Linked DNA regions of Saccharomyces cerevisiae S288C. Changing the gene in region 1 together with any one later gene gives a genetic interaction. Each region holds a gene or a part of one and is shown on either strand. Other genes may lie near its edges.

Evidence for each region. Genes that interact genetically often act in the same process or in processes that back each other up.
Region 2: mutations in HSU1 (region 1) and NTH2 together harm fitness more than expected from each alone (negative genetic interaction), as found in Saccharomyces cerevisiae (one large-scale study listed by BioGRID).

What each region holds. Positions count from the first base shown.
Region 1 is NC_001144.5:20,743-26,877, forward strand, and holds HSU1 (cystathionine gamma-synthase), read left to right. Parts: upstream 1-2,826; coding exon 2,827-4,554; downstream 4,555-6,135. Other genes in the region: glutathione transferase GTT2, read right to left, coding at 396-1,097; JLP1 (sulfonate dioxygenase), read right to left, coding at 5,014-6,135. UniProt on the Saccharomyces cerevisiae protein: Plays a role in inorganic sulfur assimilation during sulfur-limited conditions; catalyzes the conversion of O-acetyl-L-homoserine (OAH) into homocysteine in the methionine biosynthesis pathway.
Region 2 is NC_001134.8:237,357-244,254, reverse strand, and holds NTH2 (alpha,alpha-trehalase NTH2), read left to right. Parts: upstream 1-2,971; coding exon 2,972-5,314; downstream 5,315-6,898. Other genes in the region: COQ1 (trans-hexaprenyltranstransferase), read right to left, coding at 25-1,446; RER2 (ditrans,polycis-polyprenyl diphosphate synthase), read left to right, coding at 1,687-2,547; ECM15 (Ecm15p), read left to right, coding at 6,788-6,898.

The DNA.
Region 1 (6,135 bases):
TAGTCGGCAAGCAGCAAAGAATTTCAGTAGTAATCTCTACCGCGGCAATATCGATGCAAATGTAACTACCTGTAAGGATATTGTCTTCAGTGGTTTGGTATGGTTTTGTACCTTACTCAACATCACGAATAAAAAGGAAGGAATACGAATCATGATATTGATGTTTAATCTTTCACCGTCAAACAATTAACATATATAGTATATATATTCTTTTATAGAATACTGCTTGAGCTATTTTTTTACTTGACAGAATGGCGCCGCGAAGAACCCCTAAATTTTGTAGCCCTAATTTCGATCAGTTATATATAGCTATGGCACCCTCTTGAATAGCTTCATGATTGGATCTTTTTATATAGTTTCCACGTACCACGCAAAACTTGTCTCAAGTAGCCACTTTACGAGGATTTTGAACGGATTTCTAGCAGTTTCTTCACGCTGGGGCGCTGTTGCATTCTCTTATACCAAGCTCGAAGCGCCTCGCACTCTTCCGGCACTTGTAGTTTTACAATTGCAGCAAATATTAGACCAGCTATTACTGTGATGTCAGCCATTGAGAATGAATCACCAGCAACATATGGGCGTTCTCTGAGAACGGTATCAAAATAATGCATTCCATGTAGGGCTTTGTCGCGCTGGCGAAGTCCCCACTCTTTGTTTTGGTAAAGCTCGACTTCAGGCCCCAATCCAGGTGTAGCATGGTGAAAATAAACACTAACAGGGTCGAGCAGTTCCAACTCTGCGCGTTTGTTCATCATGTGGATTACGCCTTTTTCCAGCGGTGTTTTGCCGGTAAGAGTGGGTGTACCATCAAGTGCATCAATGTATTCAGTAATGGCTGTGCATTCAGCGATTAAAGTCCCGTCATCAAGTTCAAGCACTGGCACTGTGCCTGAATAGTTCTTGGCAAGAAATTCAGGCTTCTTGTGCTCTCCCTTCCAGAGGTTGATCCTCACAAATTGCACACTTGATAGCATGTTCTTCTCAGCCAAGGCAATGCGGACTCGGGCCGGATAAGGCCCTGCGGGTGTGTCATATATTATCATTTTTTGTTTCATCTTTTCACCTCCATTGTAAATCAGGAAACCTCTGCCATTCATGTATCCTTTGTAGGTACTTTATATAGAGCACCAAGTTTCTATCCTTTAGCAGGAAGCACATTATTAATCATTTGAGACGTAAACGAATGAATTAGTAAGCAGTGAAAGAAATTCGAGCACTAAGCGCGACCTAAGGGAACGGACACGGAACGGAGAAACTGAAGTATCAAATACTTCCATTTGATCAAACCACTTGTATCCACTCCCTGTTTTGCACACGGTAGTAGAAGGTCTTTTGAATATTTACTGTAAATACCGATTTCTATGTCCTTCTTGTCCGATTATAGGATTCGGGTCATTTCCAGCGCCTACTTTCCTTCTTGATTTCAAAATGTGTGGTTAACGTACTCCCAATTGCACTACTGTTCCTACAGTTCACGCGCACCTCTTTCTGATGAAAATGCAGCTGCATTAATCTGCGATCTATTGGCATCTCGCTCTTGTATCTGCCCTCCATTCGTGAAATTTTACTCTATTACCATCTTTGATCATTTTTTTGTCGCAAATGTGATACGGCATCCATCGAATTTTGCTCGTAATTGTTTGCCATTATCGCCCTTTTCATTCCGTATTATTCATCCACTCCGCTTCATAATGGGTTCCAAAAAAAGAACTATTGTACGAGCTTTTAGACTCACGAAAACATTACTTGAACAATAATTAGCGCCTGCAGAACTTGACATAATAAAATTCCATTTTCGATATCTAGCTGTCTGAAGATATGATATCTAAGTAATACGGGAAAGTTTCCGCTATTATTCTCTGTTGCAAGCTCACGTGAAAATGTGGATTCGCGAGTGGGGTGTAAGTGAGGATTGCCAAGCCTTTTGTTCGAAAACTTCTGCAGGAAGCGTTGTGTTGCAAGGATGATGCAGCATGAAATATGTGTTTTCTTTTTTTCGAGGTTCACTCCTACAGGTGATTCCTTCGAGAAATTCTGCAACCCATTGTGATATGATGCCTGGCCGAAAGATTTCTTCATTTCTTCGGAGCAGGTTCGGCCCGAAATCCTCATGATCGAGCCGAATGCCAAGAAGTAAAACACCAGGATGACTAACCAGTTATTATCATGTGTATACAGTACTTTGGTACCTTTATCAAGAAGTATACTAAAATATACCAACACCACACACATGCACATGGTAGCTGAGCGAACAGTTTCGAGATTTCAGCATTAATTTCATCTAATAAGACTTTCCGTCTGCTTTCAAGATCAACGTGCTGAACATTTTTACTCTGCTTTCATAATACTCCCATTTTAGGCTTTGATTCAAAAGCCCACTCAATGCAATACCTAAAATGATATCCTTCAAAGATATGTTTAATGAATATGCAGCCACAGCTTTGAATTCAGATTGACCTTGTGTTGCATTAAGTCAGACACCTCTAGATTTGTGTGGCTGCTCTCAAGAAAGGATGTTGAAGAAGATTTATTTACGGAAGAAATAACTGTATACGGCATTTTATTCTTTCTTAAACGAGCAAATTAAAGAATAGACGGATAGAGACTGGAGCTTTAGCATGTGTTCCGAGAAGTCCTTGACACGCGCCACGGTTGTTATGCCGCACACTACAATGATGTGTTTGAAAAAGTATATTAATGCCTATTGTCAAGATGCAATTCATCAATTCCAGCATTGAGTGATTCTTCTCTGGTGCGGTAAAACATAAATTTTAAATCTAGTACTCAACCACCACTGAACAACTATTAATCATCGTGGAAATTATTATGACGGAAATTGAATTTGGGCAACCCCTTCCCAGCAATCTAGACTATGCTGTTTCTTTTGGCATTCCTACATGGGATTCGGCAATAGGCTATGCGGAAAAGGTGCCAGAGGTAATAGGCAAAATGGCTACAGGATATCCGAGGTACTTTCCTCAACCCCCCGTCCAGAGGCTTTGTGCTTACTTTGTTAAGAAATTTGGGCGAGGTTCAGAAAACTGTCGTCCTTTTCCATCCGTTAACCTGGGTTTAAAGTGTTTCGAGTACGTAAAATCTGTCTCAGGACCTGAAAGTAAAGCTCACCTTGAAGTGGAAACAGTTACGATTAAAAACCGTGGGGCAAAAACGTCGAAAGAACCGGCGGAATTGGTGCTAACCATTGCTGCTGTCCTTGCATCGGAGGAAGAGTTCGAGACTGTGAAAGAGTATTGGAAATTAAGAGGTGAATGTGTATCTAGTCGATTGGCGTTGTCTGTCAACCAACTTCTTGACTGCGCTAATCATGGCTCAGAGCAGGTATTGCGTGAGCTAGAGGCTGGTGTTTTTGCAGCAAAGAAGGGGGAGGAGAAAGCAAAGAACCTGATAAAGGGAAGGATAGTTGAGAATCGCTTCAGGCCCTTTGGTTTGGAGAAGAAAACCCCGAATTGGGAGGGACTCAACCTCAACCCAAATGAAGACGTTTATCTTGTATCAAGTGGCATGTCTGCAATATCTACGGCTCGTAATTTACTCACCTTTTGGGAGGAGAAGAAGAATTCAGGAGATTCATTAAACAAGACCACCTCTGACCAAAAGAAAAAGCCATTATTATGTGACACTGTTGGCATCTTCGGCTTCCCTTTCAAAGATACGCAGGTCATTATGACTAAATTTGGAAAATGTAAATTTTTTGGATTTGGAAATTCTAGAGACGTTGTCGAATTACAAAAGTTTTTAGAAACAAGCAAACAACGCATTCTTGCCGTTTTCGTCGAGACACCTTCAAATCCTCTGCTGAATATGCCGGATTTGAAAAAATTGAGGAGTTTGGCCGACCAGTATGGCTTTTTTATTGTAATTGATGATACTATTGGGGGCCTTAACGTTGACATCTTGCCCTATGCTGATATAGTCAGCACGTCCCTGACTAAGCTTTTCAATGGTGCTAGTAATGTAATGGGCGGCTCTGTCGTTTTAAATCCGAAATCATCTCTGTATCCATATGCTCGTGAGTACTTCAGGAGCGCTAATTTCGAGGATTTGTTATGGTGTGAAGATGCGATAGTTTTAGAACGTAATTCCAGGGATTTTGAAGATAGAACTTTACGTGCTAATGCAAACACAGGAATATTGTTGAATGATTTGCTTTTACCCGAGGAGGGGAAAATATGCAAAAAGATTTATTATCCAACTGTTACTTCTAAGGAGACCTTTGAGAACTACGAAAGTGTACGTAATGAACGTGGTGGCTATGGATGCTTGTTCTCTGTAGCCTTTTTCAATGAGGGCGATGCAAAAGCATTCTATGACTCTTTAAAGGTATTCAAGGGACCTTCTAATGGTACTAACTTTACCTTAGCATGTCCATATGTCCATCTGGCGCACCACTCAGAATTAGAAGAAGTTTCCAAGTTTGGGGCCGACCCCAACATTATTAGAGTAAGCGTAGGTTTAGAAGATATCCAGTGGTTATTGAAAGTTTTTTCAAGTGCTTTAGATGTTGTGAAAAGCAGAGGCTCCAAACACTCATGAAGCAGATCATGAGTAGAATATCAAAAATCAAGAATTCTTTATAATCTTTATAGAATATTGTTTATAAAAGTTTTTTTCCATTCTAGCATATAATTTTTTTGGAGGAAGTCTTTTCTGGAACCTTCACATGGATCTTAATTAATGAAAGTAGACAGAGCTCATAAGATCACTAGTTGTTTATAAACTGAAGATGTTCCTTCTTATTGACTTCAACATTATATCGCTCTGAATTAGTTGATCTGTAACTTCAGAGTTTCTTTACCAGAATAAAAGCGTCACAGTTTTTCTTTAGTTTATATGTACACAGGTTGGGGTTTACTATAAACTATAAAAAAGAAGTGTTGTCGCCGCTATTTTAAGGTTTATACACAATTTTAACCAAAAAAAAGAATAAGTTGAGCAACGTTGGAACTGCCTCTGCAACGAATTCCGGCTATATACAACCTGCATCTTTGAAATTCAAATATCCAAAGTTAATGAAGAAGGATAATAATTTTCATCATTCAAAAACTTTAGATCTTCCACGGGCCTTTCCGCTTGTGGAGTAATCCTGAACGCATGTCTGTGAATTGGTTCTTCCCAATCAATCACTGCTGAATGTTGAACTCTGCGGTTATCCCAAATGACGACGGAATGAGGTTCCCATTTGGCTCTTAACTGTAAATCATGGCTGCTCTCCACTAGATTGTACAAGAAATTCAAAAGTGATTCAGATTCTTGTCTTTTCAATTCGACTATTTTCCTAGAAAATGCACGATTGACATACAAGCATTTCTTTTTCAAGACAGGATGAACTCTGACCAGTGGATGAATATGCGTGACAGGTGCTCTTCTTTTTATGCCGCCCTGGCGCTGTGAATTCTCTGCCTGTTCCTTTGAGCTATGGATGACATGAAGCGTGCTCAAGAAATCTTGCAAAGGCTTCGACAACCTGTCGAAAGCCTCGATCGTATCCGCAAATAACGTATCTCCACCACCATCAGGACCTTCAACAACACTAAAGAAAGTATAAGAAGGTGGCTGTAACTCGTAAGAGACGTCTGTGTGCCAGCCACCAGATGATGTCGAGTCATCAAAAACTCTTGCAAATTCTTCCGCATCAGGTCTTCGGAAAGTGATATGCAGCTCAGGATTGTTTTGAGGGTGGCCACTAGTTTGATGAATGTGCAACTTGCCAAAATGTCTTCCGTATTCAGTCACATAATCGGGTCCCTCGTCAGCAAAATTCTGATTTCTAAAGACAACTACTCCCTTTTGGGCGACAAGCAAAGCGAGTTCATCTTTTGCAGCATCAGAAAGATCAGTTAGCTGGATCCCATTGATCTCGAGACCTAATTTCGGGGTGATCTTCTTCACCTTTAGTTGACCAACGTTTTCTTTTGCAAAAAGGTTTGAAAAGTTACCGTCAGCTCTCAAAGCAGGATCATGGTATTCGTGAAATTCCAGCGGGCCATACTTTTCAGTAGGATCCCATGTAGGCAAATAATCTGGATACTTCGATTTCTCTCTATAAGATTTACGGATTTTCAATAAACCAGATGGAGAGACCTCATCTTGGCCATCATAAAAATGGGTATCAAA
Region 2 (6,898 bases), on another chromosome or scaffold:
ACCCTTTATTTGAAATTTCAAGGTTTACTTTCTTCTTGTTAGTATACTATTAGTTAAAAACTCTAGGGCAGAACGAGCATCAGATTCAGGAAGAGAATCCCGTAGATTTTGTAATGCCTTGTCCCTATATTCCTCCGCTAGTATTTTCGTCTTCGCTATACCATTATGGAGTCTCACAGAATCAATAGTTTTTTCAACATCACCCCTCTCTGAAAAATTGCGTGAAATTAGTGGACCTAAAGATGGGTCTTCTTTCCATGCAAACAAGACTGGAGCAGTAGCAATACCTAATTTTAGATCCGCGCCGGATGGCTTCCCTAAATCTTTTCCAGACACAGTAAAATCAAGCATATCATCTACGAGTTGGAAACATATACCTAGATTTCTACCGAAATCATAGCATTCGTCGATAACGGCAGGTGATGCCCCAGATAATATAGCAGCACATCTGCAAGATTTTGATATCAAAGCAGCAGTCTTCAGATAGGTCTTGTGTATGTAGTATTCAAATGCAGTTTCTATAATCTGATCATGAGATAATTGCAGCCCCTGTTGGCGGCTTGGAACACGAAAGTCGTGCTCTTTAACTTCAAGCTTTTTAGAAGGAACCGGAAGTAGCTTATGGCCATTTTCGATGGTATCGATATCCGCGTCAATGGAAGTATTTTTCAGTTGCATGAACTCACCTTCGACAAGATTCGCAATACTATTAGACATTAGTTCTACGACTTCGGGGTTGTGTAATCTTGAAATTGACACTGTTGCTCTCCCTAAGAGAAAATCACCCGCCAAAACGGCCATCTTGTTGGTAAAGGCAGCATTTCCGCTTGGCCTTCCTCTTCTTGTATCAGAATGATCAATAACGTCATCATGAAGTAAAGACGCAGTGTGTATCATCTCTACAATCTCTGCTAATCTTCTCTGTTTGGGTAAAATCCCTCTTTGTTTGTCAAAAGTTTCTTCTGGCAAAGGCTCAGGACCTTTTGTCAAGGGATTTAGTGGTTTAATACCGTGAAGAATATGTAGTGGGGATATGCTACTTGCAGGACGTTGAAATAGTTGATTTTGACTAGGTTTAGAGTAAATTGGGTCCTCAGGAACATCCGACTTGTCAATTTTCAAGTGATTTCTTTCTGTCATGGGAATTTCAGAAAGTGCTCTTGACAACAACAACACTAACAAGGGACGTACTTTTTTGCCTTCTGTTTCAAAATAGTAACTAGTAACCTTGTTTAGCACCGGATGGCCAGACCCGATGAGGGCAACTATATTTTTGGCCAATGTGTTCATCTCCTTCGAGACTAATGATATGGGATTATTCCAAAGAATCTTGGGAGTTACCAACTTACTGGCAGCGTTTAAAGCAACTGCAAAGGAGGATTTAAAGCGGCATCTTCGAGATGAAATCAATTTGATGTGATGAGCAGCGCCAGACCTTTGAAACATCGTCCCACTGTACTCAATTCGGACTGAATGGCACACTTCTTGTGTTGTAGAAAATCTCTATAGATTATAATGTGTCTTACTTTAATCTTCTAATCCCCTAACCCTGTTACCCTCGCTCGGGCTTTTTCCGAAGATGCCAACAAAATGCTTAGAATGAAAAAAAAAAAAATTTTCGTAATAATGACAGGTTTCAATAGAACTTAAGCAGTAAAAATAGGGTAAACACAGGTAAAAGACGGTATGGAAACGGATAGTGGTATACCTGGTCATTCATTTGTGTTAAAGTGGACAAAAAACATCTTTTCGCGCACATTGCGTGCATCTAACTGTGTACCTAGACATGTTGGGTTCATCATGGATGGGAACAGGAGATTCGCTAGAAAGAAAGAGATGGACGTAAAGGAGGGCCACGAGGCAGGATTTGTTAGTATGAGTAGAATCTTAGAACTGTGTTATGAAGCAGGAGTCGATACGGCTACCGTGTTTGCCTTTTCAATTGAAAATTTCAAGAGGAGCTCACGGGAAGTTGAATCACTGATGACTTTAGCGCGCGAAAGGATACGACAAATCACAGAACGTGGAGAGCTGGCCTGTAAGTATGGGGTACGCATTAAAATTATCGGCGATCTCTCTTTGTTGGATAAGTCTCTATTAGAAGATGTTCGGGTTGCTGTGGAAACTACAAAGAACAACAAAAGGGCCACGTTAAATATCTGCTTTCCATATACAGGCAGGGAAGAAATCTTGCATGCCATGAAAGAAACAATTGTTCAACATAAGAAGGGCGCCGCTATAGACGAAAGCACGTTAGAATCGCATCTCTACACGGCGGGGGTACCCCCTTTAGATTTATTGATTAGGACAAGTGGCGTTTCCAGATTAAGTGACTTTTTGATATGGCAGGCATCGAGTAAGGGCGTACGCATCGAATTGCTGGATTGTTTATGGCCAGAGTTTGGACCTATACGGATGGCATGGATTTTATTAAAATTTTCGTTTCACAAATCCTTTTTAAACAAAGAGTACAGATTAGAGGAAGGTGATTATGACGAGGAAACCAATGGGGACCCCATCGATTTGAAAGAAAAAAAGTTGAATTAAGAAAGGTCTGCATTTTTTTCCTACCACATGGCATAGATATTTATAGAGTAATGAGCAAGATAAATGAGTTCGCAAAAGAACATTCAAATAATTAGTAATAAATGAGTAGAAATTCACGCATCTTTATAGAGTTTATAATGCAAATCTCCGCGCGGGGTAATTTGAAGTCCAATTTTTCCGAGCGGCGTGCCAGTTCCACTAAATTATATAAAGCGGATAGGAATTGTAATTACCTCCCAAAGTTAATATTCGACTAATGTATATTTCATATGTTATAGCGCTTGTAGGAACTGTTTTCCATTAAAACTAATATTCTTTATTTCTCAATTTTATTTATTTATTTATATTTTTCCTTTGCAAATATATTTGACGCAGGTTCGGATCAGACATTTGGTATATAAGGAGACCTGCATATACTCAAATAATGGTAGATTTTTTACCAAAAGTAACGGAAATAAATCCTCCATCCGAAGGTAATGATGGTGAAGATAACATAAAGCCACTTTCAAGTGGTTCAGAGCAGCGGCCGTTGAAAGAAGAGGGGCAACAAGGTGGTAGAAGACATCACCGGCGGTTGTCCTCTATGCATGAGTATTTTGACCCGTTTTCCAACGCAGAGGTCTATTATGGACCAATAACAGATCCAAGAAAACAGTCAAAAATTCATAGACTAAATAGAACCAGAACTATGAGTGTTTTCAATAAAGTTTCTGACTTCAAAAACGGAATGAAGGATTATACCCTGAAAAGGAGGGGTTCTGAAGACGACAGCTTCCTCAGCAGCCAAGGTAACCGTAGATTTTATATTGATAATGTGGATCTCGCTTTAGATGAGCTGCTCGCTAGTGAGGACACAGACAAGAATCACCAAATTACCATAGAAGACACTGGGCCCAAAGTTATTAAAGTCGGGACGGCCAATTCCAACGGTTTCAAACATGTAAATGTTAGGGGAACATATATGCTTTCTAACTTGTTGCAGGAACTAACCATTGCAAAAAGTTTCGGACGACACCAAATATTTTTGGATGAGGCGCGTATAAATGAAAACCCTGTTGATAGATTATCAAGATTGATAACGACTCAATTTTGGACGAGTTTAACGAGAAGAGTTGATCTTTATAATATTGCAGAAATTGCTAGAGACTCAAAAATAGATACGCCAGGCGCTAAAAATCCAAGAATTTATGTTCCATATAACTGCCCAGAGCAGTACGAATTTTACATTCAGGCATCTCAAATGAACCCGTCCTTAAAACTTGAAGTGGAGTACTTACCAAAAGATATTACAGCAGAGTATGTTAAATCATTAAATGATACACCGGGTTTGTTAGCCCTGGCTATGGAAGAACACGTTAATCCATCTACTGGTGAAAGGTCCCTAGTTGGTTATCCTTATGCGGTACCTGGCGGTAGATTCAATGAATTGTATGGCTGGGATTCATATTTAATGGCACTGGGACTCATAGAAAGTAATAAGGTTGATGTTGCAAGAGGTATGGTGGAGCATTTTATATTCGAAATTGATCACTATAGTAAAATTTTGAATGCTAATAGGAGTTATTATCTTTGCAGATCTCAGCCACCATTCCTAACCGATATGGCTCTGCTCGTATTTGAAAAGATAGGAGGTAAGAATAATCCAAACGCTATTCAGTTGTTAAAACGCGCGTTCAGAGCTGCTATTAAAGAATATAAAGAGGTGTGGATGTCGAGCCCTAGGTTAGATTCTCTGACAGGGCTGTCTTGTTATCATTCTGATGGTATTGGTATCCCTCCGGAAACTGAACCAGATCATTTTGATACTATATTATTACCGTATGCTGAAAAGTACAATGTTACTCTGGAAAAGCTTAGGTACCTTTATAACGAAGGCATGATTAAAGAACCCAAACTGGATGCATTTTTTTTACATGATCGTGCCGTGAGAGAGTCAGGACATGACACGACTTATAGGTTTGAAGGTGTATGTGCATATTTAGCGACAATTGATCTAAACTCCTTGCTCTATAAATATGAGAAAGATATTGCTTTCGTCATTAAGGAGTATTTTGGTAATGAATATAAAGATGAGAATGATGGAACGGTAACCGATTCTGAACACTGGGAGGAGCTAGCTGAACTGAGGAAAACAAGGATTAATAAGTATATGTGGGACGAAGATTCAGGGTTTTTCTTCTATTATAACACGAAACTGAAATGCAGAACGTCTTATGAGTCTGCAACGACTTTTTGGAGTTTGTGGGCTGGTCTTGCAACTGAAGAGCAAGCAAAAATCACAGTAGAAAAAGCTCTTCCTCAGTTAGAAATGCTCGGCGGACTAGTTGCATGCACAGAAAAATCAAGAGGTCCTATTTCTATTGATAGACCGATCAGGCAATGGGATTATCCTTTTGGTTGGGCGCCGCACCAAATATTAGCCTGGAAAGGTTTATCTGCATATGGTTATCAACAAGTAGCTACAAGATTGGCTTATAGGTGGCTGTACATGATTACAAAATCATTTGTTGATTATAACGGAATGGTGGTAGAAAAATATGATGTGACAAGAGGGACTGATCCGCATCGCGTTGATGCGGAATATGGTAATCAAGGTGCTGATTTTAAGGGCGTCGCTACAGAAGGCTTTGGTTGGGTGAACACAAGTTATTTGCTCGGATTGAAATATATGAATAATCATGCAAGAAGGGCTCTCGCTGCTTGTAGTCCACCATTGCCATTTTTCAATAGTTTGAAACCCTCTGAGAAAAAATTGTATTACCTATAATATTGACGAACATATGTAAATAAGATATATGTTATATTCTTCTTTCTATCAATAACCATGAGATTGTGCCTCAGTAATATTTGAGACGATTTAGAGTAAGGTCAAATATTATTATTAATCAAGTTGTGTAAAGGCTCATTTGTGAAGGTTAGAATAGTAATCGATGATTTTCAAGTAAAAGTGTTTGAAGGGCATTTCAGTAACATCTTCAAACTAGGAGTTTGTTGAGACAAAAAAGTCTGATTTTCATAAGATCATAACTTACGCTTTGAAGATCGTTATGAGTACCTTGTAGCTTGCCAGATCTTCTTGCTTATTCTTAAGCTCTTGGGTAGTACTGTATAAGACTGCTTGACATCGGGAACACTATCATTACCGTGTGATAGAATTCTCGTACCAAGCCGGTTCACCTTTGCGTGGTCTAGTGCATAGGAAGAATGACTAATAGAAAGCTTTCATTTCTATTAGTGTCTTAAATGCGAAGAAGGTATGGGAATCTATTACATACATGAAGAATATAGGATCTGTATATCGTCGTCACCGACGTAAGGTTTTTTTGTCAATTCTCGGTGAACAATTTTTTGCAAGAAATATATTGATACTTCTTGTTGAAATATTTTTCTTTTTCGGAAAACAAAAACATAAAATAATTATTTAAGAAAAAAAATTAATTAATAAATTTAAATAGAAAATCTTTTTTACTTAATAATAATTAAATAAATAAGTCACATGATTTATGTAGGATCAATTTGCTCAAGATTAATTTATTATTATTGATATTAGTAGGTGCCAGTTGAATAGCTATATTTTCAGTCTGTTTGAACGTTCTTTTTTTCATTTTCTGCTGAAAGCAAGTACTCCTACTTTTATTACTTTACATGTTATCGGAGGCCTGCACAGACACTTGTATCCTATACTATCAAGGTAAATATGATTGATTGATCCTCTTGGGAAATGGGATTTTAAGTTTTGTTAGCATTCTGGTTTGCCAACCTGTTGGTAAAGCACTATTTTTCAAGCTTTTGCAACGAGATTTGTCTCTTTGATTTTTTATTTATGATTTCTAACTTTTTACTTTTAGTTAAACTATTAAAGAATAATTTTCGCAAGGTACATAGCGATTTAAGTAGTTCAGAAAAGAAATTATTTAAAAATTACTCGCTCTCTTATTTGAAATGAAGATGGTTTTCAGACAAACTCCTACACAAGCTTGTTACTGGCTTTCAGTCCGAAAACAGCTCCAAACCCTTTAATAAAACCTTTCGTTTCTTTTACTTTTTATTCGAATTATATAGCTCTTTGACATTCCTTTTTTAGTATGATTCAAGCTCCCCTCTTTTCCACCCCGTGAAAAACAGAATATCATTAACCGGGATTCACTGACATCGTCAAAAGGAGAGATCAAGATATTCAGTTTTTGTCATTGCCGTCGTGATCATTAACTATAAAGCACATAAACTACAAGTTTAGAAAATGCCCAAGATCTTTTGTTTAGCGGACGTGTGTATGGTCCCTATTGGCACCGACTCTGCTAGTATTTCTGATTTTGTTGCACTCATTGAAAAAAAAATCAGAGAAAGCCCA